Nothobranchius furzeri: one gene and its partner. The protein of the gene in region 2 purifies or fractionates together with the protein of the main gene of each other region. This does not show direct contact. Links are inferred from orthologs where the notes say so. Each region holds a gene or a part of one and is shown on either strand. Other genes may lie near its edges.

Evidence for each region. The genes of interacting proteins can lie anywhere in the genome.
Region 1: the proteins of wdr5 (region 2) and kat8 purify together in Homo sapiens (affinity purification with mass spectrometry; 5 studies listed by BioGRID and IntAct, with this or other methods). This does not show direct contact. The link is inferred for Nothobranchius furzeri from reciprocal best matches to the Homo sapiens genes WDR5 and KAT8.

Annotation. Positions count from the first base shown.
Region 1 is NC_091745.1:17,466,488-17,470,139, reverse strand, and holds part of kat8 (histone acetyltransferase KAT8), read left to right. Parts: intron 1-115; coding exon 116-205; intron 206-288; coding exon 289-429; intron 430-3,652.
Region 2 is NC_091746.1:41,699,731-41,703,843, forward strand, and holds the end of wdr5 (WD repeat-containing protein 5), read left to right. Parts: intron 1-178; coding exon 179-268; intron 269-344; coding exon 345-428; intron 429-515; coding exon 516-571; intron 572-1,385; coding exon 1,386-1,432; intron 1,433-1,526; coding exon 1,527-1,602; intron 1,603-1,731; coding exon 1,732-1,765; intron 1,766-2,357; coding exon 2,358-2,432; intron 2,433-2,505; coding exon 2,506-2,593; intron 2,594-2,665; coding exon 2,666-2,766; 3' UTR 2,767-3,476; downstream 3,477-4,113.

The sequences.
Region 1 (3,652 bases), on a different chromosome or scaffold from region 2:
TTTTTAAACTTTGTTCTTTCTTAGTAAGAAACCATTTCACCAAAGTAAATGATGTATTTGATTTCCTTTTGCTGTAGTTTACTTCAGTATCAATAACAAACATTTTCCTCCTCAGTCTAACTGTCAGTGGAGACAGCCTCCAGGAAAAGAGATCTACCGGAGAAGTAACATCTCAGTCTTTGAGGTGGACGGGCGAGACCACAAGGTGAGGACACGCGCAGGTGGACGCAGCACGGGTCCTCCAGACGTCTCACAGGCTTAGCTGTAATACTTGTGTTCTGCTTTCAGATCTACTGTCAGAATCTCTGTCTGCTGGCCAAGCTGTTTCTGGACCATAAGACACTTTATTTTGACGTGGAGCCGTTCATCTTCTACATCCTCACAGAGGTCAACAAGCAGGGAGCGCACATAGTCGGATACTTCTCCAAAGTAAGTCTCACCATCAGCAGCTGTGTCTTTCTGTTGTTGTTCATTTATTTTAGCTGGTTTGAACGAGTAAGTTAACCAGATATGTAAATGGTACAGTAGTGCAATGGTATAGTAGTGCAAGTACTAAGGGTGCACTGATCTATCGGCCCCGATATAATTTTTTTCTTCATATTGGTGATGGGCTAAAAGCTGTAATCGGTGCACCCCTATAGTTAATGTAAAAGCAAATAATTGCTATAGAATATTTTTGTACAAGTCTATCAAAACAGGTACAAAAGGTTTGTCTTCAAAATTAGAAAAATGAATGTCTAAAGGAACAAATATGGTTTTGTAGTTCAAACGGCAACGCTACATATGTTCATTTAGATTTGAGAACATTGTTTCATGAGTGTTCATATTGGCTTTCTCAATAAAAGGAAATTGAAACATTCACATTATCTGCTTTTAGTTGAGACAAAATTGGTATCGGCAAATGCGGTTTTTCTCAACATCGGTGATCGGTCAGAAACCACAACCGGTGCGCCCCTAGCAATTACTAGTTTATTATATGTAATAAAGCAAATGTCACTGAATTTCTTCCAAACCAACCTTAATATGTTTTCATTAGCCGTCCTTGTATTATAGTTATCGTCCATGTATTTACCCCTAGTTATTTGTTTATTCTTTTATCTCCCTTTTTCATTTTCCTCTTATTTATTTAAACTGTTTCATTTTACATGTAAAAAAGTTAGAATAATAATTAATTCATTATTCATAAAACTGCCTGGTCAAAAGTCGCCCCCTAAAATATTGGACACTAATATTTAATTAACCCTGGAGAAGGTCCATACCTGCTGTAGTGTCACCAAACACACCGACCCGACTCCAGTTCATATTTAACTGCTTTTATTTTGTTTCAGTTCTTTTTCAGAAACAGTTCTAAATATTTTTGTTCCTTTTACACTCAACAAAAATATAAACGCAACACCTTTGTTTCTGCTCCCATTTTTCATGAGATGGACTTAAAGATCTAAAATTTATTCCAGACACGCAATATCACCATTTCTCTCAAACATTGTTCACAAATCAGTTTAAATGTGTGATAGTGAGCACTTCTGCTTTGCTGAGATAATCCATCCCACCTCACAGGCGTGCCACATCAAGATGCTGATTCGACATCATGAGTAGTGCACAGGCGTACCTTATACGCCCACAATAAAAGGCCACCCTGGAATGTGCAGTTTTGTCTCACAGCAAAATGCCACAAGCATTGAGGGAGCGTGCAATTGGCATGCTGACAGCAGGAATGTCAACCAGATCTGTTGCTCGTGCATTGAATGTTCATTTCTCCACCATAAGCCGTCTCCAAAGGCGTTTCAGAGAATATGGCAGTACATCCAACCAGCCTCACAACCGCAGACGATGTGTAACAACACCAGCCCAGGACCTCCACATCCAGCAGGTTCACCTCCAAGATCGTCTGAGACCAGCCACTCAGACAGCTGCTGAAACAATTGGTTTGCATAACCAAACAATTTCTGCACAAACTGTCAGAAACCGTCTCAGGGAAGCTCAACTGCATGCTCGTCGTCCTCATCGGGGTCCTGACCTGACTCCAGCTCGTTGCCGTAACAGACTTGAGTCGGCAAATGCTCACATTCAATGGCACGTTGGAGAGGTGTTCTCTTCACAGATGAATCTCGGTTTACATTGTCCAGGGCAGATGGCAGACAGCGTGTGTGGCATCGTATGGGTGAGCGCTTTGCTGATATCAGTGTTGTGGATTGAGTGGCCCATGGTGGTGGTGGGGTTATGGTATGGGCAGGCATCTGTTATGGACGAAGAACACAGGTGCATTTCATTGATGGCATTTTGAATGCACAGAGTTGCCGTGATGAGATCCTGAGGCCCATTGCTGTGCCGTACATCCATGAACATCACCTCATGTTTCAGCAAGATAATGCACGGCCCCATGTTGCAAGGATCTGTACACAATTCTTGCAAGCTGAAAATGTCCCAGTTCTTGCATGGCCAGCATACTCACCGGACATGTCACCCGTTGGGCATGTTTGAGATGTGCTTGACTGGCGTATACGACAACGTGTACCAGTTCCCACTAATATCCAACAACTTCGCACAGCCATTGAAGAGGAGTGGACCAACATTCCACAGGCCACAATTGACAATCTGATAAACTCTATGCGAAGAAGATGTGTTGCACTGCATGAGGGTAGCGATGGGTACTGAATTTGGTACTTTTTAAGGTACCGACCGAATTCCATAGTACCGACCGAGCACCGATTCACGTCATTTGAAACGGTGCCTCGTTTCGGTACCCGTCCTTCATAACGAGAACTTGCCTAGACAGCTGCGCAAGAGCGTTATGTCGTCGGTCGCTGCGAGCGAGTTGTAAACAGAGCAGCATGGTAGAAAGAATGCACGCTAAAGCTTGGGTCCACTTCACTAAATGTGATGGATAACTGGGTGATGATGAAACCATCAACAACGATCTAAGTGAGACATCCTCATTTTAATCTGCTCCGGTAGGTAAATAAAATGTTTAAGATAACGTTACCTTGATATGTTAGCTTCCGTTCCGCTAATGGTGTGTTCGCTTTCTCCTCGGAATTCCGAATCTCCGGCTAGAAGAACATGAACGCGCTCAAAAGTTTGGCTTCACTTTACTAAATGCGGCGGGTGATTGGGTGAAGATGAAACCAGTGACAACGATCTAAGTGTGAGGCATCATCGTTTAAATCTGCTCCAGCAGCTAAATAATCTGTTTAAGATAACGTTAGCTTGATATGTTAGCTTCCATTGCCACCATTGTTATCAGCTAATGGTGCGTTCGCTTTGTCCTTGGAAATTCTAACTTCCCAGTAGGAAAAATCAAATGAAAAAGGACGGCAAAAGGAATGAAGATACACAATAAATTTAGTTCACAGTAAAGATGTTTGCTTCAGTTTAATTATCAGCTTATAAAACTATAAGGACGATGTTAAAATACAAACAGTTGAATGATATTTATTGTGATATTTATCAAATATGGTTATAAATTGAGAAAAATATATATTTAATTATAAAAGAGAATTAAAATATTAAACACTCAAAAGTATCTAAAATTGGTACTGTTAAGTACCGGTATCGATTCCTAGGTACCGGGAATTAGTACTGAATCTATTCAAATGTCAAAGGTACCCATCCCTAAATGGTGGCCACACCAGATACTGACTGGTTCTGAGTC
Region 2 (4,113 bases):
CCTCTAACTTCTCTGTGCTGAAACAGGTGCACCGGAGCTTTTTTTCCCTCCGCACTACGACTTGCAAGGCATTCATTCCTATTAGGAGCTACTGCAAACGTATTAAACTTGAGTGAAGAACCTCTAGTGTGTTTGAATTTGAAATGTGCCACATGAACCGGTTTCTATGTGATTTCAGGGAAAGTGTTTAAAAACTCTGAAAGGTCACAGCAACTATGTCTTCTGCTGCAACTTCAACCCGCAGTCCAATCTCATCGTGTCAGGATCGGTGAGTACGCCGCCGACTGTGGAGCTCTGATTTTAAACCCAACAACGGTTCTTATTGATCTCTGCCCCGTTTGTAGTTTGACGAGAGCGTCAGGATATGGGATGTGAAAACTGGGAAGTGTTTGAAGACATTGCCGGCTCATTCTGATCCTGTCTCTGCTGTGAGTTTTATTTCTTTTTAAACTTGAAGTTTATCTCTTAAATGTGACAGGATTGTGTGAACAGCTGACGCGTGTTTGATGTTGCAGGTTCATTTCAACAGAGACGGTTCCCTGATCGTGTCCAGCAGCTACGACGGCCTCTGGTGAGTCCCTTCTGTTCCACCAGGATCTTAGTTCTGGTTCTCTGGCTGTGCTCGTCTAATGGGCTCGACACACGAGAGGCGACATCGCCTCTCCTCCATTCATTTTCAATGAGACATGCGTGACAAAGCGATAATCGCGGGTCTCTCTCCTACTAAGCGAAACGCGAAAAACGTGCGTGTGAAATCTTGCGCTCGTGCACGTGTCGTGCACGGACGACCCAGCGACGCAATCCCAGAAAGTTGAAACATTTTCAACTTTGCATCGCTGTCGCTCGGACGAGGACCAATCAACGGAGGTTTCATTCACTGACCAATGAGCGGACAGGATGCTCTGCACATCTCCGAGCAAACATGGAGGAGAAGTTGATTATTATTATGTTTTATAGTAAAATCAGAAGTAAGATTTCACATAACTCTAGCAGCACCTTGTGAAACATCATATCTACCGCTTTTTTAACTCTGAACCGCTTAAATAACCTTAATTCCCTCCAACCTGACACAGCCAAACAAAACAACGGAAGTTTCGATTTCGCCACGGAACAGAATGCGTAGACGGCTTTGCCGCTGGCCGCTGCCGCGGGTCGCCTCCCGTGTGACAGGTAATAAAAGCGACGGCGACAAATTTCGCTGTTCGCGGTCGTTTGTCGCCTCCCGTGTGTCGAGCCCATTACAGTTGGGTTTTCAAAATACAATCTGTCTAGGAATTAGTATTCTGTTCTGCTGCCCGATAGAACTTAACTGAGTTGCCTTTTTGACCCTACAGCAGGGTAATGGTTATTTATTCCTATTAAGTAACAGTTTTGTTTTTGTCCAGTCGGATCTGGGACACTGCATCCGGACAGTGTTTAAAAACTCTCATTGGTAAGTTTGAACCAATATCCCTTAAAATATCTTTTAAATTGTGACGTTATTGTTTAAACTCGTTTGTTTCTACTTGTTTGCTCTTTTATGTCAGATGATGACAACCCTCCAGTGTCGTTTGTGAAGTTTTCTCCCAACGGGAAATACATCCTGGCTGCCACACTGGATAAGTGAGTGCATGGCTTTACCCTGCAGGGGGCGGCACAGCGCCACGATGTCCGCTCTCTACAGAGAAACAAGCATTTCTTCTACTTTGGTTTTGTTACTGGAACCATTCAACACATTCTCTACTTTTTCAGCACGCTGAAGCTGTGGGATTACAGCAAAGGAAAGGTAAACAAAAATAAAGACATCCGTTACTCTTTATGTACAGGGATTTGTTTTGGCAGAAGTTTTTATAGCTATGCAAAAGAGAAGGCAACTTCTTCTGTTGTTACAGTTTTTAAGATTTCTCTCTGATGCTAATATAAAAAGGTAATATAAAAACTAGCCAGTTAACACAGTTTCAGCTGGTTTTACTGGTGTCCAGAAGAGAAAACGGTGTGAACTTGTTTGGTGGGTCAGTGATGAAACTGGTTCTGTTGGCAGATCTAAATATGTGTCCAAAAGGAAAAAAAGAGTCATCTAGAATGTTTTTAAAACCAAAAGTTGGCAATAGAACCAGCTGTTACAAAGAATAGCGTTTAAATGTCTGAAGGTAAAGCTTCTTCCTCTTGGAAATGCCTTTTTTACTTGTAATGATCACAATAACAGAGCTGAGCCAGATTCCTGCCTGCTTCTACAGTTTTCATAAGCTGATTGTTTCCAACCCTGTTACTTTTGAACCAGACATTTGCTTTGAACTAATAAATAAAAAATACATTTATTGATGGTGACATTTCAGAGAGTGTGAATTTGACTTTTAAAAAATGTTCCACCATTTCAGTGCTTGAAGACGTACACGGGCCATAAAAACGAGAAGTACTGCATATTCGCCAACTTCTCTGTCACCGGGGGAAAGGTATGACCTCTCAGTGCTGAAGGAGCTGCAGAGTGTAGCTGGGATCTGATGCTGGGCCTCTGCTCTTTTGCAGTGGATCGTGTCTGGCTCGGAGGACAACATGGTTTATATCTGGAACCTGCAGACGAAGGAGATTGTGCAGAAACTCCAGGGGCACACAGGTACAGCAGCTTTGTTTAAAAAGATCTGAAGTGAGGTGTGTGTGTGTAACACGTTCCTGTGTCTACATCCAGACGTCGTCATCTCGACTGCCTGCCACCCGACAGAGAACATCATTGCATCTGCAGCGTTAGAAAACGACAAAACCATCAAGCTATGGAAAAGCGACTGCTAAACGCCCTCCTTTTTTAGTTTTGGGGCTGTTCATCTTTATTATTTTTCCTACATTGTGCTGTTCAACATGAGGACCCTTTTCTAATGGATGCTGAGAGCTGATCAAATTCTGCAGGGAAAGGCAAACTCCTCTCAGCCCTACGTATCGTATCTGCAGCGAACGCGCCCCTCTGGTGCCGGATTCTCTGCGTCTCATTAGAGAAACACTGACTTATTTTAAAAGACGGTTCTGACGTTTCAGTATAATTCACACTGCATTTGCCTCTGCTTCACAACAGCTCTTGTACAATAAATGTAATGATTACTGGTCCTTCCAATGAGTTGTCTTCATTTGTGTGGAAAAACTACAGAAAAGCTGAAATTTGCATCAAATACCCTTTTTTATTTATATAAGTGGTACCAAAACGGGAAATCTAATTCAAATGTCATTGGATGTTGGCAGCAGATTGTTGAGTTTTTTTAAGCAAATTATAGTTCGATGAGGGAAATAAAGTTTTGTGTGAATTAAAGTAATGGTAACCTTTTTTTTAAAGTGTTTTCTTAGTTTAAACTGACTAAATCTGTATATATCACACTGGCATAAAGCTTGTTTTATTCCACCACACAGATTAGCTCGCAGCTGCGCTTGCTAATCCAGCAGCATCTTGCCTAGCTGAACCTGTGGATATTTGTTTTGCATCTGACCACTGCTAAATAAAATCCGGTTTTGTATGTTTCATGTGTTTTTACTTCACAATCAGCATCACTTCAAAGTTTAATCTTTTATTCAATAACATTTTTTCTGTCCATGGTAGAACATTAGAGCAACCCACAAACAACAGATGGCAAAACGTTTCATCTTGAAAATGAACAAAAAGAACTATAATGAGCAGAAACATTCCCGACTTGCAGCGACGGGATGAAAATGGCAAAGTAAAGGCGACAGTTACCAAAGTGCCAAAGCTGACCCCCCCATGAGACTCGAGTAAGCTTTTCCACAGCGAACATGACAAACCCACAGAAAGAAGGGAAAGAACAGAGTACATAAGCCGGGGCTAAAATTACCTTTGTACAAAAATAGATCTTTTTTCAACATTTTTTTTTCCAACTAGAACATTTTACTGTCAATGCAACAAAGAAAGCAGTGATTGTGTCACAAGTTCCGCTTTTTCCTGATTACACTTCTTTTCTATTCGAACACACATTTGCTAAGCAACATATACAGTTTTTTGGAGAGATTAAAGGTCTTTTTCTCCTAATTTTTCAAGGTCACAGAAAACGGCTGAGAAGCTGGTTGTTTTGAGCTGACGCACTTCTGCTGGTTTGATAAACAGTTCAAATCCCTCTGATGTCTAAGAAAACCCCACCT